Diceros bicornis minor: one gene and its partners. Each later gene encodes a partner of the first gene's protein in a complex. Links are inferred from orthologs where the notes say so. Each region holds a gene or a part of one and is shown in the gene's direction. Other genes may lie near its edges. The genes, in order: CAB39, STRADA and STK11.

Region 1 (10,292 bases):
ACATTCTGCTAAGTAGAATAAGTCAGATAGAGAAAGACAAATACTGTATGTTTTCACTTATATGCAGGAAAAGCCAATCTCATAGAAATAGAGAGTAGAATGGTGGTTGCGAGGGGCTTCAGGTGGGAGAAATGGAGAGATGTTGGTCAAAGGGTACAAACTCCCAGCTATGAGATAAATAAGATCTGGGGGTCTAATGTACAGCATGCCAACTATCATTAACAATACCGCATTGTGTACTTGAAAGTTATTAAGAGAGTAGATATTAAATGTTATCACCACACACACACACACACACACGAATCATAATTTATGTGAGGGGATGAAGGTGTTAACTAACCTTATCGTGGTAATCATTTTGCAATATGTACATGGATCTAATCACCACATCATACACCTTAAACTTCCTTATATGTCAATAATATCTCAATACAGCTGGAAAAAAAATAGCAATAAAAAATAATTCCATTCCCCAAACTCTAAATTCTATATACTGAGCCATCATATGCACCTCCCCAAATTCACTGTGCCTTCTGCTTTTGGTGCTATTCACATGATTTTCCTTGAATGTTTACCCCCATCTTTAATAGGCTAAATCTTATTCATGCTTCATGTCTCACTCTTCTGTAATTGCCTGTCAACTGGTGTGTCTCTCCTGGACTACAAACTCATTGAGATCAGGGTCCATGTATTGTTCAGTGTCTCATCCCCACTGCTTGTGTCCAGTCATTATGGGCTCTCAAGTAGTATTTGTTGAATAAACAAAGTTTCAGTGAGATTTAGAGCAGGTTTGGTGGGTATGAGGGAGTGGGAAGGGTGGGTGGATGGGAGGAGCAGTTAAACACGAGAGTCACAGAGTTCAAGCTTCAAAGGGAGAGTCGTGGTGATGGCCGAGACCAGGGTGGGGCTAACCAAGTGGCTGTTGAAGAGGAATGGAAGTGAAGGTCACTGGAGCAGAGAATACGAGGGAATTATGACCCAACGTATTGGATGAGTGGCATCTGCGTTGCCCAGGAGACGTCAGATACGGGGTGGGGTAAGCAAGGAAGCCATGAGTCAGGCTCCAAAGTCCTTTCATAGATGGTGTGATTAAGGCAGGGAGGTGCCTTCACTGAGGGCCCAGCTTCATCGGAGGAGAGGAAAGGAAATGAAAGTGAGGGAAGAGTTACAGGATTGACAGGATCAACACTGACTCCAGGATAATAACGACCCTGCCTTATGAACCTGAGCTCTGCAGACACTGCACAGGAGAGTGAGGGGCCTCTGGAGAGGGTTTCAAGATGAAGAGGTGGTGGAATTTCCCAGAAAGAGGTTGTACCTACAAAGAAATATATTAATAGAAAGGGCTTTCCAGAGAGCTCAGTGGAAGGATTGAGAAGGTGTCTTCCCAGTGTAAATTCAAGCGGGCAAATGACATGGCTCCTTCCACTTTGGCTTCGGAATTTGTTACAAATCCCTCTCCAGAAATTGGCTGCCACAATTCTCAACTGTAGTGGGCTTATCCCAGTGAAGAGATTAACCTGGAATCCTGCTCTGACCCTTAAAGCAAAGGACTCAAACTCCTGCATATAGGATTATCCACTTCCACGCGTTCTTTTATTCTGTGAGAAATTAGGTCCTGACTTGTTTTTGTGGAATATCAGCCCAATAAAGGCCTCCCCTTGGGACTACAATTAAAAAAAAAAAAAAAGCCGTGGGAGTGAAGTCTTATTGAACAAAGTTTCAAATTAGATAAAACTTGCAGTCGGCTCACTGGAGAGGGTGGTGCACCTCCCTCCCTTCCACAGTTTCTAGAGAGAAGCGAAGAGAAGCTCCACGAACCAGCCTGCTAGGGATTTTTCAGCTGATTTCCCTCCGAGCCGAAACAGTCCCTAGACAGCTATGTTTTTCTAATGGCTTCTGCCTGAGATAAATTGTCCTTGATTGGGATGGACTTCACTTTTAACACGCTGTTATTTTACTTCTATTTCATACTTTTTATTTAGGTTTTTCATATATATTCTCTAGCAAGATTAGTCTAGCTTTCTTTTTGTGTGTGTTGTATTTATTGAGGCTTTGGTATCATGGCCGTAACAAGAATAAGAATTATCAGCATCCCATCCGACTCCCAACTTGTTAGAAATGCAGAATCATGGGCCCTCCCCTGAACCAATGGAATCGACATCTGCATTTCAACAAGACCCCTGGTAACGCATATGGACATTACCGTTTGAGAAGACGCCCCAGATCTTGTCATTACTGTACACTGCTCCTTCCGTAATCTCAGTGTAAGCAACCCGGCTCTCAGCTAGCACCTCCTCCTTTCCAGCTCATTCTCCCTACGGTGCTGATTCTAACAATCCTTTCACACACGTTTCATTCCATTGATCCTATCACTTTTACAGGGTGTCTCCCCTCCTACTGCCCCCATACTCATCTGCATTTTCTCACTCCCTCCTTACTGGCTTGGACTCAACAGTTGGTCATTATTATTATTACTTCCTGTATATAACCCTCGCCTTCCTTTCCCCTTTCTCTCTCCATGGAGTTATCTAGCAGAAATAACCCTGGTTGCATCCAACTCCCCACCTTCCTGTGCCTGCACCTTCCCAGCAAAACGTGGCCAACAGAAAAACACAGAATAACCCCTCTGACTGGTCCTTCTTCACATCTCCTCTCCCCTCAAACTTCTGACACCTCCCCACCCTCCACACGAGGAGCTGATGACCTTGCTTTCTATTTCCCTGAGAAAACAGAAGCCTTCAGAAGGGAACATCCACATGTGCCAGCGCCTTGTCCAGCTGGCTGCCTGCCTCTGTGCCTACACTCTGCCTGCCCTCTATTACTGTGAGTGGACGCCGCCTTGCTGGTATCCAAGGCCAGCCCTTCCGCTGTGCGCGGCAACCTTTTCTTGCTCACTCAAGGACAGCTCCCCAGAAAATGCCCCCCCACCTGCATCATCAAATTTTCTCTCACTACTGAATCATTCCCATCAGCACTTAAGCCGGCTGTAATAGCTCCCATCCTAAAAGCAAAACAAAACGAAATAAAACAAAAAAATCAGCTTTGACCCCACATTCCCCTCCAGCTACCATCCCATTTCTGTGCTCCCCTGTAGAGCAAAACTTCAAGAAAAAGTTGTCTACACTCGTGGTGTCTCTTTCTAGAGCCCCATCCTTTCTAGAGATCTTTCTAGGTCTCATTCTTTCTAGAGATCACTCCAATCAGGCTTTCCTACCCATCCCTGCTGAAATAGCTTTTCCCCACACCACTGGTTACCTCTGTGGTGCTGACACCAACATCAACCTTCCTTGCATTACAGCCGCAATCGTGGCACTGATCCATGCTCCATCCCTGGTCGCCCAGCACACGATGCTCTCCTGGGTCTCCTTCTGCCACCCTCTGCTCAGAATCCTTCGCTGGTTCCTTGTCATCTCCCTGACCTCTCAGTGTCGGGGGCCTCGGCCTCGTCCTTGGCCTTGCCCTGTATTAACACTCTTTCTCTTAAATGATCTCATTGAGTCCTGAGATTTTACCTATTCTGAAGCCTCTCGAAATTCTCTCTTCAGCCTGGACCTCCCCTTCAAACCCCAGACTTCTAGATCCAGCTTCTTACTTGGGTGTCTAACAGGCAGCTCAAACTTGATATGCCCCCAAATAAATTCCCCAGTTCCTCCCTTCACATCTGTTTCTGTTTGTCTTCCCCACTTCACCAAATTGTATCTTCCAGTTGCTAGGGCAAAAAACCCAAAAACAAAAAAAAACTTAGAAATCAGCAAAATCCTGTCAGCTCTACCTTTGAAATGTGTCTAGCACCTGACCGCTTCTTTACACCTCCACGACTACCACCCTAGACCAAACCTGTCTTCTCTTGACAGGATTGTTTCAAAAGCCTTCAAACTGGTCTCCCAGCTGAAACCCTCAGGCCCTTCAGGCTGGTCTTCACACCAGGAGCAGCGTGATCCTTTTGAAATGTCAGACCACATCCTTTCTCTGCTCAAAACCCTCCAAATAGCTTCCCATCTCGTTCAGAGTAAAAACCAAAGTCTTCACTTTCGTCTATACGCTACCCACACCCCTCACCCCATCTCTACCGGCTCCCCTCACTCAGTGCTCTCGCCTTGATGCGCTCCACTGCGCCCCTCAAGCTTCCACAGCACATTCCCACCTCAAAAGCTTGGTCCTTGCTGTTCCCTCTGCCTTTCCACGCACGCAGCTCTCAGCATGCTCTTTCTTGTTGTAGCTGCTCCCTGTGGGAGGACTATAAATAGATACCCTGCACTCTCTCCCCTCCTTAGCCTGTGTTGTTTTTCTCCATCGCACTTAAGACCATCCAGTATCATAATGTGTATTGGTTTGTTTAGTTGGTTGTCTCAGGAGCAGGGACAGTTTCGTTCACTGCCCCACCACCTAGAATAGTGCCTGGCACACAGTGGATACTGAAAATACCTGTTCAATTACCAATTAAAAACAAAGAAACAAAAATATACATGTATGGCATTTTTATGTACCAGTCTCTTGTCAGAGCCTTGCAATGCATTATCTCCTTCATTCTCATAAGCCTATGGTGCTCTATTATTATTACACTTGCGTGTGTGTGAAGGAACCCGGGCACAGGGACATGAAATAGGCCATGGATACTAAATGATGGAGCTGGGATTTATTTATTTTTTTAAATAACATATGTTTTATTTCTTCAGCTGTTATTTTTGTGAGTGTGTGAGGAAGATCAGCCCTGAGCTAACATCCATGTCTATCCTCCTCTTTTTTGCTGAGGAAGACCGACTCTGAGCTAACATCTATTACCAATCCTTCTCCTTTTTTTCCGTTTTCCTCCCCAAAGCCCCAGTAGATAGTTGTATGTCATAGTTGCACATCCTTCTAGTTGCTGTGTGTGGGATGCGGCCTCAGCATGGCCAGACAAGCGGTGCGGTGCGACCGTGCGCGCCCGGGATCCGAACCAGGGCCGCCAGTAGCGGAGCGCGCTCACTTAACCGCTAAGCCACGGGCCGGCCCCTGGAGCTGGGACTTAAATCCAGGCTGTTGAGTCCTATTAATCTGGATCATTCCATCACTTTCCACGCAGGAGAGGATGCTACAGAGGATGCTCAAGTGAGAGTTAAGTCCATCGAAAGTACGAAACAGTCGTCTACACCAAGTCAGCTCCTGGCCTTTAGCAGAAATAAAGCTTTGTTAAGAGTTGAGGAAGTGGTCGTAGAAAGCGGGCGAGGGATTCCGCCAGGACGAGTGCTTAGACAGACGAGAAAGGGCTGAGCACCGACATTTAAGAGGCAGATGACAGAAGAGGAACTCTCGCCCTGGCTTCTGCTTTTCTCTGCGTCCGCTCTCGCTTGGGCCTGGGCGCGGACTCCGGCGCTGAGTCCGCCCGGCCGCCCGGGGGCGCCCGAGGCCGAGGGGGGCGTTGCGGCGCCGCCCGACGTCGCGCCCTCGGCGGCTGCGCAGTGCGCACGTCAAAGCCGGGCTCGGGCCGCGAGCGGGGAGCGGCGCGGCCTGGGGGAGACCGAGCGTCCAGGAGCCGGGGAAGGCGAGGGGGCTAAGGCGGCGCCGGGCCCCGCAGCAGCAGGCGCAGCCGCAGCCCGAGCGCGCGAGCGCGAGCAGCAGTGCGGCGGCCCTCGCGGGAGCCCCTGGGCCGCCGTCCGCCCGCGCAGCCGCCGCCGCCGCCGCGGGAGCCCGTCGCCCGGAGCAGGAGCGGGCGGAAGACGACGGAGGGGCCGAGCGCCCGAGCCGCGCCGCGGGGACCGAGCGCGCAGCCCGAGGCGGCGGCGGCCGAGGACGGGGACGGCGACGACGCGGAGGCGGAGAGGGAGCCGCCCGGCCGAGCCCCGTGAGTGACCCCGGCCCTGCTCGCGGCGCGGACGCTGCCCGGCTTCCGCCTGCCCTGCCCTGCCCGGCCCGTCACCGGCCCCGGGGTGCCTCCATTTTCTCGGGCCTGCCCTGCCCGGCGGCCCGGGCCCCTCCGCAGCCTCCCCTGCCCTCGCCGGCGCGGCGCCCGGGGGCCTGCGGCCGGGGCTCCGCGCGGCGCGGGGGCGTCCCCGGCCGGCTTCGGGAGGGCAGGGACGTGCGGGCCGGGCCAGCTGTCACTCCTACCGCACCCAGGCCCGGCCGCCCCGCTCCCGGCCCCGGGGCAACTTCCTGTTCCCGGGAGGCAGATCGCATCTCTGTGATCCTCGTTTCGGGAAAATGCCTAACCGATTTCCGGTCGGGAACGGCGCGGCCGGAGCGTCCCCGAGTTCGGTTGAGCCACCTCGAGCGCCGACTGCGTGCTGGCGCCCCGGTCGGTCCGCGCCCGAGGGATTCAAAGGTGAAGCGGGGCCCGCGGTCCCCTCCCCCGAGGAGCTACCGCTCTGGTGTGGGAGATAAGAGGAGTAGCACACAAATAATACGATACCAGGAAGGAGGTGATAAGTCCCGTGAAAGAACTGCAAGGTGCTAGGAAGGCACCCAGGGAAGACACGACCCATCGATCACTTCCGCCCAGCAGAAATCTGGAAGGCTTCCTGGGCGAGGCGGTGCCAAGCAGGGTCTTGAAGGCCCCATGGGATTTGGGAGAGGAGGGTTGCAGAAGAGACGATGTGTGGAGGGGCAGCAAAGCTAGAGGACAAAGGTAAAAAGACGTAGTCTAGCAATAGTGAATAATTCAGTTTGTTGCCTAGGGCCGTGGTGGGGGAGTGGGGATGGGCTAAAGAGGTATTTGGGGGCCAGATCCTTGAATGCTGTAGAGGAGCTGTTTGAGTGCCATTCTGAGGGAAACTTAGAGCTCGTTTCTGAGTGACTCATGAGTCCGGAAATGTAAGCTAGGGGATGTTAAAGGCGCTCTTGTGAAAGAAAAGAGAGGAGCCCAGGAAGGAGTTGACGTTCTGTGCCTTGAATATAATGCACTTTGAGATCGATTTTGACAGCTTCCCGGATATTCAAATAAATCCATGTCCAGACTAAGCAAAGTACCTTTTGCAAAAAGCTTCATTAGATGTTAGGCTCTTAAGAGTTAATGGAAAGATGTGAATAAAATAAGCTCGTGTGCGCATGAGGCGTTTCTGTTGGTGCAGTTCACTAAAATGCACCAAAACTTCTTGCGCTGTGTATTAGGTGTCTACACTTCAGGATTACTGAGCTGAACATAACTTCTTTGAGATGGCCTTTGTGTAAACCAATCTAAATTGATGATTTTAAGAAATCAGATTGTTACTAATCTGAGATTGAAAATTGGACATAGAACCCTTTTATAGAAAGGTAAAAATTTCTTGGAGTTTTTAGTTATGAAAATATTTATAGGAGAGCCAGAAGTGAGTCTTTAGCTTTATTTTGTACATTTTTTCTAATTAGTAGCAAATAATTAGCAGCTGTATTTGAAGTCTAGGGTATATGATTTATGGGAGCAGCTTAGAACGTTTGTTGGTTTCCTTTTCAGTCTTTTTTTTCTTTACATGATGAAATAAACTGCATATGTGTAAAAAACTTTTATTAAGCTTTTCTTTTTTGGTCATTAAATGTCTTCATATAAAAATATTTTTACTCAAGTAAGGGAAGTCTTAAATGTATTATTTTTTTTGGACAAGGTTGCATTATTTACCTCAGATAAAATGCAGTAGTCATGCTTAATAACTGCTACTGTGGACAGAACTTGTTATAAAGGCTTCTTGTTTGAAGTGTATTTATTAACTTCTTTGTAAGATTTGAGTCCTATTGCTTGTTGACTAGAGAAAGGTTTTATTACTAGGGGTGCGTGCTGTCATCAGGTATGGGAGAGATCTCACATCTCTGCTATATGAGTGGATGTACTTTTAAAAAGGCATTATAAAAAGATTACTTTCATAGCTGGTATAATCTCCCATACAGTAATGCACCTCACTTTCCCTTTTCACCCCCCCCCCCGAAAAAAATAGTCTTTATGCTAGGGCCATCCACTTTTTGATCATGACATCACAAAGATTCAGGCTAGATGTATTTAGTTTTTCTATTGGTATTTCTTTAGTAAAATATAGAATTTATCATGAAATAATTTGCTGCTATAACAAAAGGGGCTTTTATGTTTTTTGATTCAAAGCAGTTCACTAGCATTTCATTATTAGTTCATTAGCATTTCAGATTGCAGGTTTTTGTTTAAACCAGTTTTTTCCCTGGTGCTTTACATTTTAAAATGTATTAATGAGGTCTCTGTTTCTCTTTCTAATGGCGTATAAAGTGAGAAGCTGAGTTAGACTGTATAAATTTTCATAAAGTTAATATAAAAGAATAGCTAAGAAAGTCCAGTTTAAGTATGGGGTTTGGTTTTATAATTTGGTTTTATTTAAATCTTTATTTGTATATTGCAAGTATGTATACCACAAAGCATCGTTTATTACTTTTGAATATTTACTAAAGTGTTTTCTTTTGATCAACTTTTGTAGGTTATAGATTTCTATCATCACTGCCTTTTTTCCAGGAGGGATTGATCACTGATCATTCACAGTTTTGCCATCTGTCATAAAAATACAGACATACATCCGGATCGTGCCCCCCCCCCCCGCCTCCACCCCCCCAACACCATGCAAAAATAAAATCCAATATAGGGCCGAATTTCATTTCAGGTAGTGTCTTCTGGTTACTTTTCTGGTGTTGTTTCTATTTCAAAAATCTATTTTCCTCTTTTCCATGGCTCCTTTTAATTAGGAATTTGATTTTATGGATGTTGTCTGGTGTTACAGAAATAGGAATGTGATAGGTGGATTAGTATGGATATTGGCAAAATGTTGTGTGATAAAATCGTGGGAAAGAAGATCAAATCTCTGAACCTCTGGGTTAGGTTGCTTGTGACTCGTTTTGTTATTTAATTATTGAGGTGTAAAGATCTTGTATTTGTGTGAATGCAGATCAAGCCAGGTAGTCTAAAAATTGCATAACATTTAGTCATCAGTGTATATTTTGTTTTTATTGGAGAGAAGACTCGTGTTGGAGCCATCCTTAATTAAAGAAGGAATTGAGCTTTGGGTGTCTCACCACTCTAATGACTATCCAACTGGACCCTAATCGCTGCCTTTATCAGTCTGGAGTGTGGGGTAGAGCAAAGTGAGGCAAATATTTCTACCACCAGCATTTGTAAAGTAGACCCGTCTGGGAGTAAGCGCTAAATGTTTGTTCTGCTTCTGTTTCTCAGGCCTTCCAAGGATTGTGGGAAGAGTTAATACAGGGCTGGGTGGCAGATGATATATACTGATGGTGGTGAAATTAAAGTTAACAGCTGGTTGCCATCAGAATTCTGTTTTGTGGTGTGTGTGCATGTGCACGTGTGTGTTGTCCTCTGATGTGCCATTTCTATCTCACTGAGCTTCCTGGCCCCACCGTGCTTTTAACTTTTCGCTTGAGATAGAAGGGGTGAGAGCACGGCAGAATTGTGGTTGATTAGCAACTGTGATGTTAAGCTGGCAGAGGAAGGAAGAATGGCATTCAGAGAATTGCAAGAGGTCAGTCAGGTGTGAAGTGGCCTCAGAGGAGGGAGGTAAAGCCTGCCCTGGCCGTTTCCTCTGGCATTGTCCAGCACATACCTATTTGCACAATCCTTACTACGTTGTGTGTAACTTGAGATTTTGATACTCACAATACAGTGTTTAAGTTGTAGATTTGTGTTTGCTTATTTATATGTATATATGCATTTTCACATGCATAGTTACAAAGATTGAGAAAATCTACTTAACCAATATTTAGTGGCAGTCTGATTTTACATGATAATTATTCCTTGGGAGCATTATACAGCAGATAAATTTGATGACAAGGAAGTATGATGATGTTAAAACATCACAGCACTTTGATTGTTTGGATAAAATGTTTGAGAAACAAAATATACATTTTGTAGCTTGGTCTTAATTAAGTTGCAACTTTATAACTTTGTCTAACGGACTGTAGCTTGCTCTTTTACAGGGTACTGTTAACATGTTAGTCGCTGTTCTCTCCCTCCACAGTAGATTGTATATCAGCTGTATTTAGGCACAAGAACAAAATAGCATGAACAGATTTCTGTTTACTTGTCTATAGTTTAGGTCTACTTTGGGATTTATAGAATTCTGAGAGGCAGTATTACTAGTGATTAAAAGCACATGTGCAGGGGCTGGCCCGGTGGCGTAGCAGTTAGGTCACACGTTCTGCTTCCACAGCCCAGGGGATCGCCAGTTGGGATCCTGGGTGCCAGCCTACTCACCACTCATCAAGCCGTGCTGAGGCGGCACCCCACATGGAAGAACTAGAAGGACCTACAACTGGGATACACGACTATGTGCTGGGGCTTTGGGGAGAAAAAAGATAAAGAGGGAGATTGGCTA
Region 2 (9,643 bases), on another chromosome or scaffold:
GCTATCTTTTGATTAATAAAAGCTTTCTTCAAGTCCCACATATTTGGACCATGGCAGCTAATTTTGTAATTTAAGCATTCATATGAACATATATTAAACTTATTGCCAAGAATCTCAGAGTGCCGCCTTTACTTTTCTGGGATTGCCCTACAAGAGTATAAGCCCATAGGAGTGTTCTGTCTGTTCAGTAAAAGTCAGCACTGAAATGCTTTTCCCTTAGTTGTTACCAGTTACCATTTTTAGAATGTTTTATATTTTTAGAGCCCCATGTGTTATTCATGGGCTTCTCCCCAAAGTCCCCCTCTTGAGTTAAGACACCATTATCTCTCCTATGAATGAGAGGACAAAGAGAGAATAGTGTTGACTATCACACACTGGAAAACCACTAAGCCCTCCAATCTTGTCTGCCTTGCCAGGGCACTTAGCAATGCTGAAACAAGCACTGGCCTGGAAGATAAAGACTTGGCTTTTATTTAGTGCCAGCAAAACCAATTACTAATCCTTTGACTTTGGGCAAGTCACTAACCTCTTTGAGTTTCTGTTCTTTCTGTTTTTCCTTCCACAAAGTGAGGATTATAATTATTTTCCCTACCTACCTCCCAGTTAGGTCAATACCAAGAGATAATACATGTAAAATTCTCCTGTAAACGATAGCACTTTAAAAATGTAAGGTTTCTGGGGCTGGCCCGGTGGCGCAAGCGGTTGAGTGGGCGCGCTCCACCTTGGCGGTCCGGGGTTCGTAGGTTCGGATCCCGGGCGCGCACCAACGCACCGCTTGGCAAGCCATGCTGTGGCGGTGTCTCATATAAAGTAGAGGAAGATGAGCACGGATGTTAGCTCAGGGCCAATCTTCCTCAAGAAAAAAGGGGAGGATTCGCATTGGATGTTAGCTCAGGGCTAGTCCTTCTCACCAAAAAAAAAAAAAAAATGTAAGGTATCATCTAGAACTGTTCTCCAAGTGGTGCATTTTTGCTTGACTCTCTTGCTTCCCTTTCTCCCAGTGGAAACCAAGCAGGTCCTTTCAGAGTTCTCTAACTTTATCTGCAAAATTTGATGGTATTTGGAGGCGGGAGGTGGCGGGGAGGGATAGTTTACTACTCTGTTTGCTTAGTAATAGAAAACTTTTCCCTGTCAAGCACCAGATGTGAAACTCTTTTCTTTGGATGGGACTTAGACCACAGGAAAACAGTGATTGGAATTCTCATTCCACCCATCCAATAGGAATTGGCAATATGAAAATTATTTAGAGCAGTGTTGTACAAGGATCCTTTGGTTTTGGTGGGAGGGGTGAAAACTGTACTTTATCATCTCAGATTCTGTTTTCTTACTGTTCCTGCCTCTGCTCATTCTGAACGATTTGCAAGGATGTAAGGGGGAGGAGACAGTTATACCCATAGCAGTGTCTTCTATTGCAGACTGCTAAAACAGTAGCAAAAAGTATTACTTTTCTCGGTTTCTGGAGTTTGATGATGAGCAAAACACTTATTTGCATATGGAAGGAAGTATAATGTTTTTGTCTTTGCACAAGTTGAATGCCATCTCAGCTCCATGAACTAAGTAATACCAATTTCAGAAGAAAACCAGTTTTTTTTCCTGAAAGACAGAAACTTGTGTCTACTACTATACTGCTTTTAATGGATATTATTCATTTTATTTTCATCTTTTAAAATTAACTGTCCTCTTTAATTTCACCTATTTGGTTTTATCCAAATGGTGTAACTTTTGCTTATTTAAAAGACACCCAAGCCTTTTTAAGTATTTAGTTCCATGGGAGTTATTTCAAAATCAGATAATATGACATCTGCCTAGGTTATTTGTTGTATCACCTTTGCTTGAGGGAGAACTCTTAACTGCTTTCCTATCACATTTTAAACTTAAATGCTTAAATAGCTCTTCTGCATATTTTTCTTACATGTAACTGTATTACTTAGCAAGGGTGTAACAAAGCTGCAATTGAAGCCAGTTTTCTGCTTCAGGAAAGAGCCCTGGATTTGTGGGCAGGGACCTAGGTGCTGTCCTAGTGCTTTAATAAGTCTATTTCCTCATCTGTAAGTGGGCATTATCTTCTCTCCCCTTTCTAAAATGGCTGTTCAGAGGATCATATTAGATAACATGTATAAAGTACTTTGATATATAAAATGCTCTAAAAAATCCTGCTCAACTTGTTAAACTACACATCTATGCATTTTTATCTCTCAAGTATTCTGGGCAATTAGTTTTGTTTTTTTTTTTTAACTTTTTATTAAGGTATCACTTACATAAAGTAAAGGGCACAAATATTAGCTGCACACTCATTGAAGTTTTACATTCTTATACACCTCTGTGCCTACCACGGAGCTGAAGATTGAAAACATCTCTAGTGCCCCAGGATGATCTCTTGTGCTCCCTCTCAGCCATTAGCTCCTCACCCCAAACTACTGTCTTTACTTCCATCAGCATAGTTTTGTGTTGTTTTGTACTTTACATAAATGGAGTCATACAGTATATAGTCCTTTGCATCTGGCTTCTTTCACTCAACATTATATGAGAGGCATGTATTTTTGTGTATAATTGCAGCTGGTTCATTTTCACTGCTGTTCAGTATTCCGTGTCTTTTGGTGGATGCATGTGTACCTAGGAGTGGAATTGCAAAGGGCTTTCATAGAAACAATTTTTCAAATAGCTTTTTGCCTTGCCACCAACAAAGAATGTGGGTTCCTGTTGTTCCAGGAAGAACAGGATGTCTCAACAACATTTGATATTGTTGGCCTTTTTAATTTTAGCCATCCTGATGGGTGTGCAGTGGGGTCTCATGTGGTTTTCATTTGCATTTTCCCAATGACTAAGGATGGTGAACATCTTGTCATAGTTTCCCAGCCATTAGAATTTCCTCCTTGTGTCATGTATACCAAGTCTTTGGCTCATTTTTTTTTGTTGGGTTGTCTTTTTGTTATTGAGTTGTAGGAGGTTCTAAAATATATATATTATGAATGCAAATCCTTTGTGAGATTTATGTATGGTAAGTATCTTCTACTCTGGTTTGTCTTTGCACTCTATGGCGTTATGGTGAACAGTATTTGTGTGTGTGTGTGTGTGTGTATATATATATATATATTTGAGGTAACATTGATTATAACATTGTATAGGGTTCAGGTGTACAACATTATAATTTGACATCTGTATATACTACAGCATGCTCACCCCAAAAGTGTAGTTTCCATCTGTGACCATATAATTGACCCCTTTACCCATTTCGCCCTTCCCTCAACCCCTTTCCCTACTGGTAACCACCAATCTGTTGTCTGTTTCTATGAGTTTTTGTTTTGTTTTGTTTATTTTGTTTTTTATATTCCACATATGAGTGAAATCATACGGTATTTTTCCTTGTCTGACTTATTTCACTTAGTATAATACCCTCAAGGTCCATCCATGTTGTCAGAAATGGCAAGATTTCATCTTTTTCATGGCTGAATAGTATTCCATTGTATATATACACCACATCTTCTTTATCCATTCATTAGGCAATTAGTTTTACGTTGCTCACAGTTAATTTATGCGGTATCTTGAAGAGGGCAGCACTTAGTTTAAACTGGATGCTCAAACTGGATGCTCAGAGTTAAAAACAAAACAGCCAGGATCTTCAGTTCATCTCCATTCCTCTAGGCTTCAAGCCAGTTGCAAAAAGCTCCAGAAATCTTGGAGAGTCCCAACACTTATTATAAGTAAGTGAAAAACTTTAGGGAGCTTGTGCATCCCAGGGTTCAGTCAAAAAAGCAAAGCCGGAAAAGACTGACTTTGTAAACTTTGAAAGTTGACTTTTCATTACACCAGTTTTCTAAGTTATCTGGATTTAGGAGGCCCTTTTGCAGGAAAAATAAAGCTAATGAACATTTGCTCCTTGAAACAGTCACAACAGAGTCTGGGCCAAAAGGTTCACTAACCAGCTTTTGTGGGCAGTCATGAAGAAGGTGAGATCTTTTAGCTCCCTTGGCCAACTGACATCCAATTAGAAAATGACATAGCTCTGGGCTAGGGCTAGATATTAAAATAAATGGAAAGTACCTCCATGTTTCAATTCCACATTGTGATGACTGCATGAAGTTTGGCATCTTTTCAGGCACTATCTTCTCTAGTACCCTCAATTCCAAAGACCGTCTGTGAAGGTCTTTTCCAAAGAACACCACCAAGAATTTTACTTCAGTTTCTGTTACTATCTTGCTTTGTCAGTTTACTAAGTTTGCTGCTGAGAGAGGCATCTTATTTTGAGAATGAAAGAATAGTGAGGGTAGTGCTTTGGAATGTTAAAGCACTAGATAAGATCAAAAGGATGTATGTAAAATTGAATGAGACCCTGAGGTGCATATTCGTGCACTGGCAAAGTTCATATTGTTTCAGCGTCATATTTGCATCACTCCCTGTTTGGATGTAGCCGAACTTCTCCCCCATTGTGGAAGTTAGACCAGTATAAATCCGTGTCAAGGGTCAGAGCTGGGACGAGTGAGTGTTCATTACTTGATGATATTTATCCAATGTTGGACACCCCTCTCCCCCGCACCGTGGGTAGAGTAACTGAAAAAACGCAGCCTCACAGAAGGGAGTCTTGCTCCATAATTTCTTCATTTCTCAAGCCCTGCATGCCTTGGTTTAGGCTAGCTTCTCCATAAAAGCAAACCTTATAGGTTTCTGCAAACAGAACATGTCTCTCAGAGTTGTGGATGAGGAAGGATCCAGGGACAAAAAGATCCAGAAGGGAAAAAAATGATAGTTCCCATTAGATGAGCCATTTTCTTCCTTTTACAGATAAGGAAACTGAGGCACAGAGAAAGGTTGGGTTTCCCCTTTGCAGCTTGTCAGTCTGGTGCCCAAGAGGCCAAAGTGAGGAGCATTTGAGATGTCTTCAAAGAAAAATGCGAGACATTCAATTTTCCATTGAAGTCCTACCACACGAAATAAAAACAAAAACAAAATCCTCAAAGTAGCCAAGTCAGCAGCCAGTGTTGGTTTGCCTTTCTCTAGTCCCCCTGACTCCTCAGTATTGAAATCTTCCTACTTCCTTCCTGCTGCGCGGGCGGAGGCTCTGGGGAGCCTGTTTGGGACCCCGCAGGCCGCACCGACGACAAGCTAGGTTTTTGGCTTCCACACACTTGGGGAAATGGGTCCCTTCTGTTGGGAGACGGAATGCCCTCAGGTACGCGCTTCACGCAATGAGAGAACTCAGAACCGTTGAACCGCTCTCCGCGGGTCCACTGCTGGGGGCCTCCCCGCGCCGCGGCAACGCGGACACCGGGCGGAGCTTCCTCAGCAGCGCCGGCTGGGAGAGACCGGGCGGAGCTTCCTCACCCTCTAGGGCCCGGAGAGACGGGGCGGAGCTTCCCCACCCACGGGGGCCGGGCCGGGGCGGGGCTTCTTCCGCTGGTCGGGCGGGGGCGGGGTGGGGCGGGGTGGGGCGGGGCTCCCTCAGCCGCTCTGGCCAGGAGAAACGGGGCGGAGTTCCGTCAGCCGCTGGGCCCGCGGGGGGAGGGGCTCTCTGCCCGCGCGCTTGGGTCCCTGTACTGCGCATGGCACGTTGCGTACTTCCCTCCCAGCAACTGGCCGGGCGGCGGCGCGGCCATAAACTAAAGAGGCGGAGCTGAGACGGGGTCGGGATTGTTTGCTGACTCCAGGACCAGGTACCGGGCCGGCGGGGCCGCCTGGTGTGTTCCAGGGATCGGTCCCTCCTTGCCCTGCCGCCGATTCCATCTCCTCAGGGGCGGGCCTTCGTCAGAGCGGCCTTCTCGGGTCCCCCGTCGCCCTCCACGGGCCCTTTTTCACCCGAGTCCTCCTCGATTCTCGCAGTGAGGGGCTGCAGCCCGAGAGCAGAATAGGCTTGGGCCTGGCCGGGAGACTCAGGAGCGGAGTTGCCGGGCGGGAGAGACGAGCGCCTGCTTTCCCTCCCTCCTTCCCCCCAGACTTCTAGGTGGGGAACCTGGGGCCCACGTGTCGGTTTGTCCTCCTCAAGCAAAGAGGCGGCAGATCCTAGTGCTGACCTCTTCCCCAGCACCACCACCACATCCCCATCTCATCCCGGGCTGGGCAGGCAGCAGGTCAAGCCCCCGTTAAGGACAGAGATCCAGGTGACTCCCGGAATCAGCCCAAACAAATTGTCTTGGTTTCCAAGAATGTTTAAGTGCTCACAGTAGATTTGGGGTGAAGGTGGGGATAAGGGGTAGGGAAGTGAGCACGAGGGAGGGGGAGTGGTTAAATAAAAGTTTTCGGGAAATGGGGAACTAACTTCTCTGCCCTGTGCTAAGATATCCTTTGTTGTGAGTGCCATCAGGTCCATTAGACTCCTGGCAACCTTGTGTACAGCAGAGCTGAACCCTGCCAGGTCTTTTGCGCCATCCTCTCACCTTCTGGTGCTGTATCAGACAATGCTCTGTTGATATTCATAGGGTTTTCATGGTCAATTTTTTCAGAAGTGGGTCGCCAGGTCCTTCTTCCTAGTATCTCTTAGTCTAGAAGCTCCCCTGCAGCCTCTTCACCATGGGTGACCCTGCTGTACCATATAGTTTTCAGCATAACAGCAACACGCAATCGCCATAGTATGTCAGCTGACAGATGGGTGATGTGGTTCCCTGACCGGAAATGAACCCTGGGCTGCATTGGTGAGAGCCCCCAATCTTAACCATTAAACCACCAGAGCTGGCTTCTAAGATATCCTAGCATATTCTAACTTCACTTCCCCCAAAGAGGAAAAGCATTGGAATTGGTCCTTTTTTTATTGTAGTATCTGTTGAAGTAGAACTGTATTTCATTATATATTTGCAGCATTAAGACAGTTCTTCACTGACTGATTCATACTTTCTAGAGACACCCAAGACTGTTTCTTGTCCCTGAAAGTTGAAGAAACCAAATTTCCTCTGATTATCTGCCTAAGGCCAAGAGCCTATTCAGCCATTAGTTGCAGTGCTGAACTAGTTAAATCTGTTCCCCCACCCTTTAACCAAGTTGATTAGAGGTATTGAGGTTCAAATGCAGTGTTTATAGTTGTAACCCCAGACATGGAGGAAGTTTAGAAAACCAGTGGCAAAAATAAGAAAAAAGAAAAAAATCAAGGTAAATGAATTCTCCTTTCTATACCATTTGGCGTCTGGTTAGCAGTATTGTCAAATCAGGTAATGTCTTCTCAGTCATATATTTTTGCACACACAGCCTTGACTCTTCTCCCTAGGCTTCTTGATTATCACCGGTTTCTAGAGCACAGGCTTTGGAACAGATCTAATCAGTCCTCTACCACTTGCTTCTGTAACTTTGGCGTTTAATCATGTGGGGCCTCCATTTCTTAATCTGTAAGATGGGGGCGATAATACTTATTGTGAGCTGATCTCTGTGAAGCATTTAGCACAGATCCTGGCACATAGTTCACCATAAACGCTGGCTGCTTTTATTATTTTTACTATTATGAATTTAACAGATAGAGGAGTGCCCATATTATGTGTTGGGCTCAGTAGCCCGTGGGAATGCAACAGTGAACAAGATGCATTCCCTGCCCTCAAGGGATCTCTATTCTAGGGAAGGAGACCAATAAATAGGCGATTAAGAGTGTGGTAGGTGAAAGGATTGAATACAGAGGCTGAACATCTAACATAGGTGGGGGTGGGGAGGTGGGGGGTGAGGGAGGATTTCTGTAGCACAGAACATCTGAGATGAGTAGAGAGGGACAGGTCAAAATTAACCAGGTTGTGGGCCGTGGCTTAGCGGTTAAGTGCGCGCACTCCACTGCTGGTGGCCCGGGTTCGGATCCTGGGCGCGCACCGACACACCGCTTCTCCGGCCATGCTGAGGCCGCGTCCCACATACAGCAACTAGAAGGATGTGCAACTATGACATACAACTATCTACTGGGGCTTTGGGGGAGAAAAATAAATAAAATTATTAAAAAAAAAACTAACCAAGTTGGGGGAGGGAAGGTGGTCTAGTAGGGGAAGGAGGATCTTTAAAGTTTTTCCTTTGAGCTCCATTTCCTACCTGCCTTTCAAGAGCCATGTCCTAAATATGGACCTATCCTGAGGCTTGCTTCCCAGCCTTCTGCTTTTCTCTCACCATTTTCTCCTTTAGTGAATTTCTGTCATTCGTATAGCTTTGGCTGCTAACTCCCAAGTCCACATAGGCATCTCTAACCTCTCTTTTAAGCATCAGTCTTACTTTTCTAACTGAATGCTATGTATTTCCACTTGGGATATATAACTGTTTTCTCAACCTCAATATGATTTAAAAACTCGAACTCATTTTTCCACCAAAACCACTTCCACCTCTGAGCTTTCCTGTTTCTGTCGTTGAGACACTACTCTTTTCCCAGTTACTTTGGACATTAAAAAAATCGGAGTCATCAGAATTGTCCACAGGTAGAATGAGCTCTCTGATAGAGTAGTGAGTCTCTGGCATGGGAAGTTGTCAAGCAGAGATTAGATAACCTTATATCCAGGAGTTGGTAAAAGCTATTCCTCCAAAGGGTGGAGGATGGGCTAGGAGATTTATGGTGTCCTTACTAACTAAATATAATTTCTTTATTTTTCCTTCTCCCCTATCCATCTATATCACCACAAACATGGTCCACGATAATTGTATTCTAACTGGCATTCCTTTCTCTGGGTTATTTTTACCTCCCCGTCTCCCATCCCTTTGCAGATTAGTATTCCTTAGAATGTTCCTTAGAACAAGGCTTCTCAAACGTTAGTCAATATGATAGTCCTCAAAGCGGCAGCAGTACCACCATCTGGGAGCTTGTTAGAATTACCAGGCTCAGGGCGGGCCTGGTGGCATAGCAATTAAGTTTGTGTGTTCCACTTTGGCGGCCCGGGGTTTGCCCGTTTGGATCCTGGGCGCGGACCTACTCACCACTCATCAAGCCATGCTGAGGTGGCATCCCATATAGAAGAGCTACAATTCTACAGCTATAATACACAACTATGTACTGGGGCTTTGGAGAGGAAAAAGAGGAAGATTGGCAACAGATGTTAGTGCAGGGCCAGTCTTCCTCAAAAAAAAAAAAAAAAACGAATTACCAGGCCCCACTCCAGACCTTCTGAATCAAAATTTGCATTTTAACAAGATCCTCAAGTGATTTGCATGCACAGTAAAGTTTGAGAGACACTACTTTAGACCAGTGTTTTGTGTCTGTCACCTTTCTATTCAAAACTTATAGTTGCTTCCTACTGCCTGGTGAATAAAATCCATACTCTAGCATGCACTTAATGCCTATTCATGGTTCTTGTATGTGTAGAGTTCTGCTTCTGTAACTGCCCTCACATTAATTGGAGAGTATATGTAAAGTGCTGACACCCTTCTCAGCACATTTGGTGAGTCAGTCAATATTACTGAGTGCCTACTATGTGGTAGACACTATTCTAGAAACCGAAAGATATACCTGTGGACAAGGCAGGTAAACGCTAAATAATCAGTAGCTAATACTATTTCATGCTTGGAATTCTCATTTTCTTTAAGTTCTTTTTGACATTCAAGCCCCACTCTTTCAACAAAACTATCCAGGTCCACCCCAGCTCATAGTAATCTTTCCCTTTTCTGAACTTCATAAGGAGTTGCCCATTTCTACTTGTGCATTCCCCAGACCTGCTGAATTAAAATTTTTGAAGGCGGCAGTTTGGGCGTCCTTAGGTTTTTGTAA
Region 3 (9,577 bases), on another chromosome or scaffold:
CTGGCACATCACCCCCAGGAATGTTTTGAAGCAAAATCCTAGGAGTCACGTGCTTTCATCCATAAATACTTCAGAGTGTGTTTCTAAAGCAAGGATTCCCAACCCAGGCAATCCAGGGGACACTGGGCCATGTCTGGGGACATCTGTGATTGTCACGACTGGGGGGTCTCCCGGCATCGAGTGGTGGGGCCAGGGATGCTGCTCAACCCCCCACAGTGCCCAGCACGGCCCCCACAGAGAGTGACCCAGCCCCGAGGTCAGCAGTGCCAAGGGAGGATCTGGTCTAGAGTGAAGGATGGGTGACTCTGGTGTGTGAGTCCGGGCCTCCCTGCTCTATCTGCGATGACGTGTGTGACGAGGCCCAACAAGGGGTGACAACAGTGATGATCTGGTGTCACTGCCCCAAGGGATCGTGTGTGGGCTTCAAACTCTGTGGTCCCGAGCATCTCACACACACACCCAGACACACACCCACACACCCACACACCCACACACACACACACCCCCCTCCAGGAGTCTCGGCCACTATCCCCGCCCGCCCCCTGGCGGCCACAGAGGTCCACACGCACTGGCCTCTCCCGGGCCGCATCCTAACCTGCAGCCATGGCTGGATGGCTGGATTCCCAGGGTGGGGGGCCGACCTGGCTTTGGAAGGACCCCCTCTGGCTCCTGGGGGCCCCGCTCCTCGGGTCAGGGGCTGAGTTGGGCCCTTGGAGAGGGTGGTCCTGGGATCAGGGACCCGACTTGTAAGAGACCCACAGAGTTGGAGGAGATCCAGGATGGGGCGGCCGGCCAAGAGAGTGGACAGGAGGCCCGTTGGCTTCCTCTGTCCTCAGGGGGGAGGGGGTCTTGGCGTCAGAGCTGGGGAAGTGAGAGGGTCAGGGAGGGGGAGCTATGAGGGACGAGTGGGTCTGGGGGCCACTGGGCACGAATGTCTGTGTGTGGGGGTCATGAGTGGGCAGGAGAAATGAGAGGGGTGAGGGACAGAGGGTAGAGGAGAAGTGGGCAGAGGCAAGGCCTGAGCCCAGGAGGGGCTGGTGGACTCCCACATATAACATGGGGCCCCCACCGGTCACCTGGGGCTCCTACCTATAACCTAAGGCCCCCATTTATAATCCATCTATAATATGGGGTCCCTACCCATTACTTGGGGCCCCCTGTTATTACCTGGAACCCCTTCCTATAACCTGGAGCCCTCACCTATGGCCCGGGGCCCCCCACTTGTAAGATGCCCCCATCTATAACAAGGTCCCCCACCTGTAGCCTGAGCTCCCCGCTATAACTTGGGGCCCCCCACTTGTAACTTGAGGCCCCCTCCTATAAGCTGGGGCCCCTCAACGGCAACCTGAGACCCCACCTCTAACCTGGGGTCCCACCTGTCACTCGGGGCTCTTAACAAAACCTGCGGGAGGGTGAGGATGGGAGAATGCAGAGAAAGGATTTTCCCAGGGCGACCACAGGTACTCATAACCTTCGTCTGTTCCTGCTACTACCGTTCCCATTCGTCACAGTTTGCCCCCCCAGAGGTCAGGCTGCCTCTTTCAGTCGGGAGCGTCATCGCTGTCTCCGAGTCTTCTCTCCGTGGTGGTTCCTAAGGTCACAGAACATGTCACTGCCACAGCGTCTTCCATCTGATGACATATGGTATTGTTAACCCCCACTCAGAGAAACGGAAAGTGAGAGGCCAAGACCCCCCAACTGAGGACTTCCGCCGGGCAAAGGGCTGGGGCCGAGAGAGGGTCCCTGGAGAGGCTTAGAGCAGCCCCCACGGGGGTCTCAGGCCCTGTGATGCTGGGAAGGGCTCTTAAATCTGGTTCCGTGTTGGCCTGCCCTGGGTTTGATGCTTGCTAGGAACTTTTACGTAAGCAGGACAGCTGAACAGCTCCGAGACCCCCATCACGCTGAGCAGACGGTGCTAGAATCCTCGCAAGGCTGCTGGGGCTCCCAGGCTGGGCACGCAGCTCCACCAGGGACCTGGGCAGGTGGCTTCCTTTCTGCAAGCCTCAGTCGGCTCACCTGTGAGGGGGACGGAGGGAGGACTTTAGAACATTCCATCACCCCAAAAAACAGCTCTGTACTCCCTAGCAGTCACTCTCCACCCCCTCCCCAGCCCCTGGCAACCACAAACCCACTTTCTGTCTGTGGATGTGCCTGTTCTGGACATTTCACATCAGTGGAAACACACACCGCGTGTCCCTCTGTGTCTGGTTCTCTCACTGAGCATCGTGTGATCAAGGTCCATCCACGGTGTGGCTGTGTCAGGGCCTCACTCCTCTTCATGGCTGAGTAATACTCCAGTGTGTGGATGGACACGTTGTGTGTATCCATCATCCGTTGATGGACATTTGGGTTGTCTCCACTTTTTGGCTGCTGTGAATCAAGGTGCCGTGAACATTTGTGTACAAGCTTTTGTGTGGATGTGAGTTTCCGTTTCTCTTGGGCATATACCGAGGAGTGGAATTGCTGGGCCATACGGTAACACTATGTTTAACCTTCTGAATTTTTTTCGAAAGTGGCTGCACCATCTGTATGAGAGTTCCCGTTTCTCCACATGCTTGCCAATACTTGTCATCGCCCATTTTTTTGATCGTGGCCTTCCTAGTGGATATGAAGTGGTTAATTTTAATAACATTTTTTTTTAACCTAACACATCCAATTATATCATTTCAACGTGCAATCAATGTAAATTATTGAGATATTATATGTATTTTTTCTCATGCTAAGCCTTCAAAATCCAGTGTGTAGTTTACACTCACAACATCTCAATTTTGGCAGCCATATCACAAGAGCTTAATAGGCACATGTGAACAGCGGCTGCTGTACTGGACGGCACAGCTCTCATTGCTGAGGATGCAGCAGTGACCACGAGAAACCGACCCCGGCCCCCAAGAGCTTCCAGTCTAGTGCCAGAGACAGAATAAAAACAGATAATGAAATATATAAATGAGAAAATTTCTGAAGGTGACAAGCGTTCCAGGGAATCACCAGGAGGGCTTCTCGGAGGAGGTGGCATCTGAGGCGAGATTTCACCTTCACGAATTCTTTCTGCAACAGTCACCAAACATTTCCCAAGTTCCTTCCATGTCTCCTGCACATCGGGAGAGGGGTGTGGGCTCCGCGAAGGAGAGCAGGGCCTACATGGGCCAAGATTGTCAAACACACCCCCAGCTTCCAAGAAATTTCAGTTTAAGGCAGCACTCAAAAACACAGAGGATACCGAAAGGAATTTAAGTTGGGCAGTGTTCCCTCCTCTTCTGCTTCCAGGCCAGATTTTTTAGAACGGATGTTATTTCTTCCTGAAATGTTTGGTGGAAATTCACCAACGAGATATCTGGGCCTTAATTGTCTTTGTGGAAAGGTTTTTCAGTACAGATTTAATCTCTTGAATAGACATAAGACTATGCAGATGATCTATTTCTTCTTGAGTGAGCTTCTATCTCAGTGTTTTTCAAGGTATTGGTCCGTTTCAACTACGATGTTGAATTCATGGGCATAGAGTTATTCCCAGTATCTAATCCTTTTGCTATCTGTAGGGTCTGTAGTGACATCCCTTCTTTCATTTCTCACCTGTGTCACCTTTTTTTTTTTTTTTTGAGGAAGACCAGCCCTGAGCTAACATCTGCCAATCCTCCTCTTTTGGCTGAGGAAGACTACCCCTGAGCTAACATCCGTGCCCATCTTCCTCTACCTTATATGGGACGCCACCACAGCATGGCTTGCCAAGCAGTGCCTCGGTGTGCGCCCGGGATCTGAACTGGTGAACCGCAGGCCGCCGCAGCGGAGCACGCGCACTTAACCACTTGCACCACCGGGCCGGCCCCTGTGTCATCTTTTTTCCTTGGTCAATCTGGGTAGACTTTTACCAATTTTTTTGATCTTTTCAAAGAACAATCATTGGTTTCATCGATTTTCTTTATTCTTTTTCTATTCTATTTCATGTGTTGCTGCTCTGATCTTTATGAATTCCTTCTCGAAAGGAATTTGGGGCTAATCCACACATTTTTATTAGGGCTTGCTGGTCTGCTGCTGTGGCTTGTGCCCTGTCTCCTCAGAGCCACACCAATCCCCTTCTACGGGTCATTTGTGAATCTCATGGATGTCCGGAACAACATGCATATGGGCACGCTCAATTTCGTGCAGTTTTAGGGAGTTCACAGGTCTCGGGTTCAGAACCCCCAGCCCTGAGCCCCAATGCTTCCACTTTTTGGCTATTTGTGAAACAAGAGCTTTACTCAAGACAAGCGGTTTGCTCTGACAAAAGAATAATCTAGTGCTAAAAAGCAGAAAGGCAGAAAATTCAGGTATGGGAGGTACTTTCAACTTCATGGAGCAGTATTGTGCCAATTCTTTGTGTTTTCCACCCAAAGCACTTGGCTGGCACCGCCCCCGCTCTGTTCTGAGCTTTGGCTCCTGAGTTCTTTAGGGTAGAGACCGTCCAGAGCACCTCTCTCGCCCTCCAGCCCCATTGATGCCTAGTGATGGCTTTTTGCCTCCCATTGGCCACTTTGGGCTACTTTTTGACCCTTGACCTCGCCTCCAGGGGGCTTTCGGACGAGGGGCCCTAGCAGTCACCCCCAAAGGTCCCAGAGCCGCATCCCGGCCCACGAGGGCGGTGCCCACTCCCTGGCCGTTCCGAGGAGGCCGTTAGCACTCACGACCTTCGACCCCAGCCTCAAACCCCTCCGAGGTCAACCCCGCGGCCTCGCCTCCCCACGCTCCCTTCCCGCCCCCTCCGCGTGACAGGCGCTTCGGCGGGCCAATGAGCGAGCCGTATCCACCCCTGGGGCGGGGCCGCACGCGGGCCAATCCCCGCTCGCCCTCCCCCCGGGTCCAAATGGCCCAATCGGCGGCGGCGACAGGGCAGCCCGCGGGGGCGGGGCCTGCCGGCTCAGCCAACGGGCGGGCACGTCGGCGCCGCGAGGGGCGGGCCCCGCGGCGGGCGTGCGGCGGCGCGGCGGCGCAGGGCGGGGGCGGGAGGTAAACAAGATGGCGGCGGCGTGTCGGGCGCGGAAGGGGGAGGCGGCCCGGGGCGCCCGCGAGTGAGGCGAGGGGCGGGCGGCAGCGGCGGCGGGGCGGCCGGACTGCGGCCGCCTTGCATGGGCTGGGCCCCCGCGCCGCCCCGCCTGCTTCACGCGCGCGGCGACTGCGGCGGGGGGACGCGCCGCCCGTGCCCCGGCGGCCTCGGGAACCCCCGGCCCGGGGCCTGCGGCCTGCGCCGCCTCGGCCCCCCGGAGCCCCGCGGGTCCCCCGCGCCCCGAGGACCGCGGCCGACGGCGTTCGGGGCGCAGAGCGAGCGCGGGCTGCCGTTTGGGGCGGGGGGCGCCCGCCGGGCGCGCGCGGCCTCTCGGGGGTCCCCGGCAGGTGTGGGGGCGCCCCAGGGGCAGCCGGATCCGACGGAAGTTGCTCCCCGCGGCGCGAGGGCCCCGGGCAGCCCCCCGGACCCCCGACGCGCGCCCGGGGCCGGCGAGAGCGCACCGGGCCGGACGGAGGCGCCCCCCGCGCTGTCCGGATAGGCACCTGCCGGCGTCTGGGGCGCCCGGGACGGCGGAGACCCCCCAACACCGCGCCCCGGCCCCGGCCCAGCTCGTCCGCCCAGCCTCGGGGTCCCGGGACCGGCCGGCCGCCGCGGGGCCCCGGCGCGCGCCCTGGCCCGCCGGTAATGGACGGCCCGGTGGAGACCCGGCTCTGCGGCCGCCGCGTTGGTCCGAGGGTCTGAAGTCCCTGGAGGATGACCTAGCACTTCAGCGCCCCGAGGGCCCCCGTGGACGCGCCCCAACGACCCGGAGCTGCGAGGCCCGACGGCACCCGCACTCGCCGCCCCGCACCGTCGGCGCCCGCGCCCCGGACCAGGCGCGCCTCTCGAACTCTCGTCTCGTACAATCGTTTCTTTTCGAGGAAGGGTTTTTTTTTATTTCTTTTTTTGCGTTTTTGTTGACTTTTTTTCCGGAGAAGGGAATTTTGGGGGGAACGAAAGGAAGAACCGCTCACCCGGGACTACAGTAAGGGGCGTCAGGGCTGCCGGCCGGAGTCGGAGGCCCGGGGTCCAGGATGGATGCGGCGGACCCGCAGCAGCTGGGCATATTTACGGAGGGCGAGCTGATGTCCGTGGGCATGGACACGTTCATCCACCGCATCGACTCCACCGAGGTCATCTACCAGCCCCGCCGCAAGCGGGCCAAGGTCATCGGCAAGTACCTGATGGGGGACCTGCTCGGGGAGGGGTCGTACGGCAAGGTGAAGGAGGTGCTGGACTCGGAGACGCTGTGCAGGAGGGCCGTCAAGATCCTTAAGAAGAAGAAGTTGCGGAGGATCCCCAATGGGGAGGCCAACGTGAAGAAGTAAGTTTGGGCTTCCTGGGTCGGGCGCCGCCAGCCGGGGACTTTGGTCGCCCGCCCTCCCTCCCTCCCTCCCTCCTTCCCTTCCTTCCTTCCTTTTTTCTTTCCTTTCTCCCTCCCTCTTCCCTCTCTCCCTTCCTTCCGTCCTCCCCTTCCTTAAAAACCTGAGCTGACCAGCCAGCTCCCGAGTCCTCCCTGCCAGGAAGAGCATGTTTGGAAACCCGCTTAAGTACTTTCAGAAAGTCGGGACAGGTTGTTGCTGCGGGGCGTCCGCCTGTCAGTCTGTTGGGGGGCGGATGTCCAAGCCCTCCTCCGAAGGGGGCGCGCCCCTCTCCCCCCGACCCTCCCAGCTGTCCGGAGCACTCGGGTGCCCGGTGCAAGCAGCCAGTGTTTGGCCCTGAGAGCGTGTGCTCAGAAACCGCCAGGGCCGCCGGCAGGTCTTGGGCGCAGCGTGCGGCCGGCGCTGGGGCCAGGCCAACACGCTTTGTTGATCCTGTCGGAGGGGAGCCCTGCGGTGGCCAAGTGATTGTTTGCACCGGCTTATCAGTCAGCAGGGGGCAACTTAGCCCTTTCTTGCCGGCCTGGGTGGTGACACTGGACGTGTCTGTGACTGCAGGCCCCGGGGACTCCCCCCTCCCCCAGAGGGGAACAGGCTTGTGTCCAGCAAACTTTTTAAACAAGTATTTTTGGAGCCCGTCTGCCCCAGGCACCTCGGCAGGTTTGGGGTTTGTGAGCAAGAGTTGCCCCAAGGACGGAGGTGGGGAGCTTTGCCTCCTTCCCTCTTGCCAGTTTCAGGAGGGGGCCCCTTATCGCTGCCGCCTCGGTGCACCCCGCCCCTTGGCGCACGCTCCCCTCCCAGCCTCCGGTTTCCAAGAAGTGGCTTATCTAACAGGCTGGCTGGTGGCAGGGCTGACTTATGACCTTGGACGGTCCACAAGCTTGCCAGGCCCGTCCTGGGCAGTGCTGCCCCCGGATCCGCTTTCACCTGCCTCCTTCCCGGCCCGGCCCGCTCTGCCTGTCTGCACAGCCCGCGAGCTGGCTGTTTTCCTGCTCTGGGACAGCCTGGGGGTGCTGGTGTTGGGGTCGGAGCGAGAACTGAAGCCGGGCTGGCACGGGCTCCAGAGCCGGTGCCCCTTGCTTGGTGGAGCAGTAGGCTTCTTTGGGGTCGGCCGGCACGGTGGGCAGTGTTGGGGTGAGGTCTTCTCAGTCTCTGTGACCCAGCCTGTGGACACTGGGAGGAGGCGTGGCCGGGCACCCCCGGCCCCTCCCTCCGTCAGTCCTGTGCCAGTCTCTTACCTGTGAGGTGGGGGTTGGGTGGGGGCCACAGCATCTGGGGAGAGACAGGCTGGGGGACCCCTCACCCCAGTCAGAAATCCCCACTCCACTGCTGGCTTCTCGTTAAGCCTGGAGCACGTGGGGGTGAGGCGGCTGCCTAGCAGGTTTACCCCAGCTTCGGGTGGGGGACAGTGAGCTCCTGCGTTCTGGGTGCTGACTCTGGAAACAGATCCCCTCCCGCTCTCCAGGGCCCCTCCTTGTCCTGGCTCCTGGTAGGCCTCGTGCCCCGTTCTGTCCCGGGAACAGGGTGCTGGTCTCTTCCTGCCTGGCCGAGCCCTCCAGGGTGGAGTCGGCCCGGGTCCGGGGGGTGTTCTGGTGCTGTGGTGCCCCAGGCCCCAGCCTCTCGGGAGCAGCGCCCTGCGGTAGGAGGGTCTCCCAGAGTTTGGTCCAGGGGGCCGGGTCCCAGCTCCGACTGGGCTGTGTGGCTGGAGGCACCCGAGCCCAGCTGCTGGCCGTCCTGGGGCTTCAGTGTGTAAACCCGGCCAGGGGCAGCAACTGGTGGCAGCAGAGTTGAGGGGTCCCTGGGGGGGGGTGTCAGGGTGGGCAAGTGCCCACCTTTGCTAAGGCCTTGTGTGCGTGTGATCAAGACGCTGGTTTTCAGAAACGCTCGCGCCCAAAGTCAAGTCAGAGGACGCTTCACCACCCCGAGGAGTTCCCTTCTGCTCCACGGGGCACATGACCAGACCTGGCTGCAGGGCCACGGAGCGCCAGTGTCCCAGCCCCTGGTTTCCTGAACAGTCACCCGAGGTCCCGAGAGCTTGTGGGGACACATGGGTGTGCAGTGTCCATCGGGAGCTGGAGAGGAAACCGAGGCCAGGGAGGCGGAGTGGTTGGCCGTCACCAAGTGGCCGGCAATTAGCATAAGATGTCACAGCCGCAGGGCGCTGTGCCGAACTTCATCAGCTCAGCCCTGGACGTGCAGAGACTCTGCCTTTCAGAGGTTCCCTCGGAGGGCAGGGCAGGGCTGGCCCGAGCTGTGCTGTCCATCCGCCTTCGCGTCTGGCACCAGGACCTGCCGGCTGTGCAGCTGGGCATTAGAACCCACCGTGCCTCGGGGGCTGCGTGCCGGGGGACATGCCTGCTCCACGGGCGCCACATCCCTTGTCCCAAGTCCCACCGAAGCGCTCTGGACTGGAGGCTCTCGGGCGCAGGCAGGGGTGTCCGCTCCCAGGCCCGAGATCCCGTCTCCTGGGCCGGCCTTGCTGCCAGCCGCCTGCAGGGAAAAAAGCCTCCTTTGTCTGCGAGAGGCTTAATAAACTCAATTCCAGTCGCCTCTCTGGTGTGAAGTGTCCAGAACCTTCCCCACAAGCCTCAGGAGTCCTCCAGTTCCAACGGGAAGCTTTTATCTTAAGGGGCGCTGTTTGCCCAGGTGGCAGGACGGGTCAGGGTGCCCTCCTGTCGCCTGGTTTCCTGCCAGGGGGGCTGCCGTGGGCCTGCGCTTGTCCCCCTCACTTGAAAAAAAGGTCACCCGTAACCTTAATACCGACGCATCTCAGCACATCTCCTTTGAGTCTGTTTTTAATGTGTTTTCTTAACCCATCCAAGCACTTTTTAATGAAAAACTAAACTCCCCTAAGCATCGTTTTTAAAAAATAAGTTCTATCTGCTTGTTTTTCCAGTAGGCAGTAGAATTGCAGGAGCGAACCCATAAAGGCTGGGAGAGGGCGTGTGGTGGGGTCTCCCTGCGCCCTCTTCTCCGGAGTCTCCCTCGCGCCCTCTTCTCGAGGGTCTCCCGGCGCCCTCTTCTCGGGGCTCTCCCTCCGCCCTGTTCTCCGAGGTCTCCCTGCGCCCTCTTCTCCCAGGCGGCCAGGCTGACCTGTTGCCACGTGTCCTGCCAGCGGTTTTGTGCAGGCGTAGACAGAGCTGCATATATTCCCCGTTTTACAGTCAGCCACCGTCTGGCAGGC

What was found.
Region 2: the proteins of CAB39 (region 1) and STRADA are in contact, whole or in part, in a crystal structure (PDB 3GNI), measured with the Homo sapiens proteins. The link is inferred for Diceros bicornis minor from reciprocal best matches to the Homo sapiens genes CAB39 and STRADA. Residues at the interface, in NP_001124321.1 of Homo sapiens: Leu26, Glu27, Lys28, Gln29, Tyr55, Gly56, Thr57, Asn58, Ala85, Asp86, Gln88, Leu89, Phe92, Glu93, Lys96, Arg107, Glu138, Leu141, Ile145, Ser176, Thr177, Phe178, Asp179, Ser182, Asp183, Glu221, Asn222, Tyr223, Val224, Arg227; in NP_001003787.1 of Homo sapiens: Pro64, Leu104, Glu105, Cys107, Ser108, Asn109, Val112, Gln116, Leu119, His120, Lys123, Leu124, Phe125, Asn126, Thr136, Phe137, Ile138, Asp140, Asn141, Leu143, Tyr185, Met189, His223, Gly224, Arg226, Val426, Asp427, Asp428, Trp429, Glu430.
Region 3: the proteins of CAB39 (region 1) and STK11 are in contact, whole or in part, in a crystal structure (PDB 2WTK), measured with the Homo sapiens proteins. The link is inferred for Diceros bicornis minor from reciprocal best matches to the Homo sapiens genes CAB39 and STK11. Residues at the interface, in NP_001124321.1 of Homo sapiens: Gln109, Gly111, Thr112, Lys196, Leu197, Leu238, Asp239, Arg240, His241, Phe243, Met246, Ile250, Val280, Ala283, Asn284, Pro285, Glu317, Gln318; in NP_000446.1 of Homo sapiens: Gln100, Arg103, Arg104, Glu165, His168, Ser169, Gly171, Leu201, His202, Pro203, Phe204, Ala205, Ala206, Asp207, Asp208, Phe234, Arg301, Ser307, Arg310, Lys311, Lys312.

What each region holds. Positions count from the first base shown.
Region 1 is NC_080776.1:19,250,035-19,260,326, forward strand, and holds the start of CAB39 (calcium-binding protein 39), read left to right. Parts: upstream 1-5,574; 5' UTR 5,575-5,824; intron 5,825-10,292. UniProt on the Homo sapiens protein: Component of a complex that binds and activates STK11/LKB1. In the complex, required to stabilize the interaction between CAB39/MO25 (CAB39/MO25alpha or CAB39L/MO25beta) and STK11/LKB1.
Region 2 is NC_080757.1:46,575,649-46,585,291, reverse strand, and holds the start of STRADA (STE20-related kinase adapter protein alpha), read left to right. Parts: upstream 1-5,545; 5' UTR 5,546-5,648; exon of another isoform or gene 5,649-5,672; intron 5,673-5,678; exon of another isoform or gene 5,679-6,092; intron 6,093-9,643. UniProt on the Homo sapiens protein: Pseudokinase which, in complex with CAB39/MO25 (CAB39/MO25alpha or CAB39L/MO25beta), binds to and activates STK11/LKB1.
Region 3 is NW_026691553.1:692,531-702,107, forward strand, and holds the start of STK11 (serine/threonine-protein kinase STK11), read left to right. Parts: upstream 1-5,327; 5' UTR 5,328-6,048; coding exon 6,049-6,338; intron 6,339-9,577. UniProt on the Homo sapiens protein: Tumor suppressor serine/threonine-protein kinase that controls the activity of AMP-activated protein kinase (AMPK) family members, thereby playing a role in various processes such as cell metabolism, cell polarity, apoptosis and DNA damage response.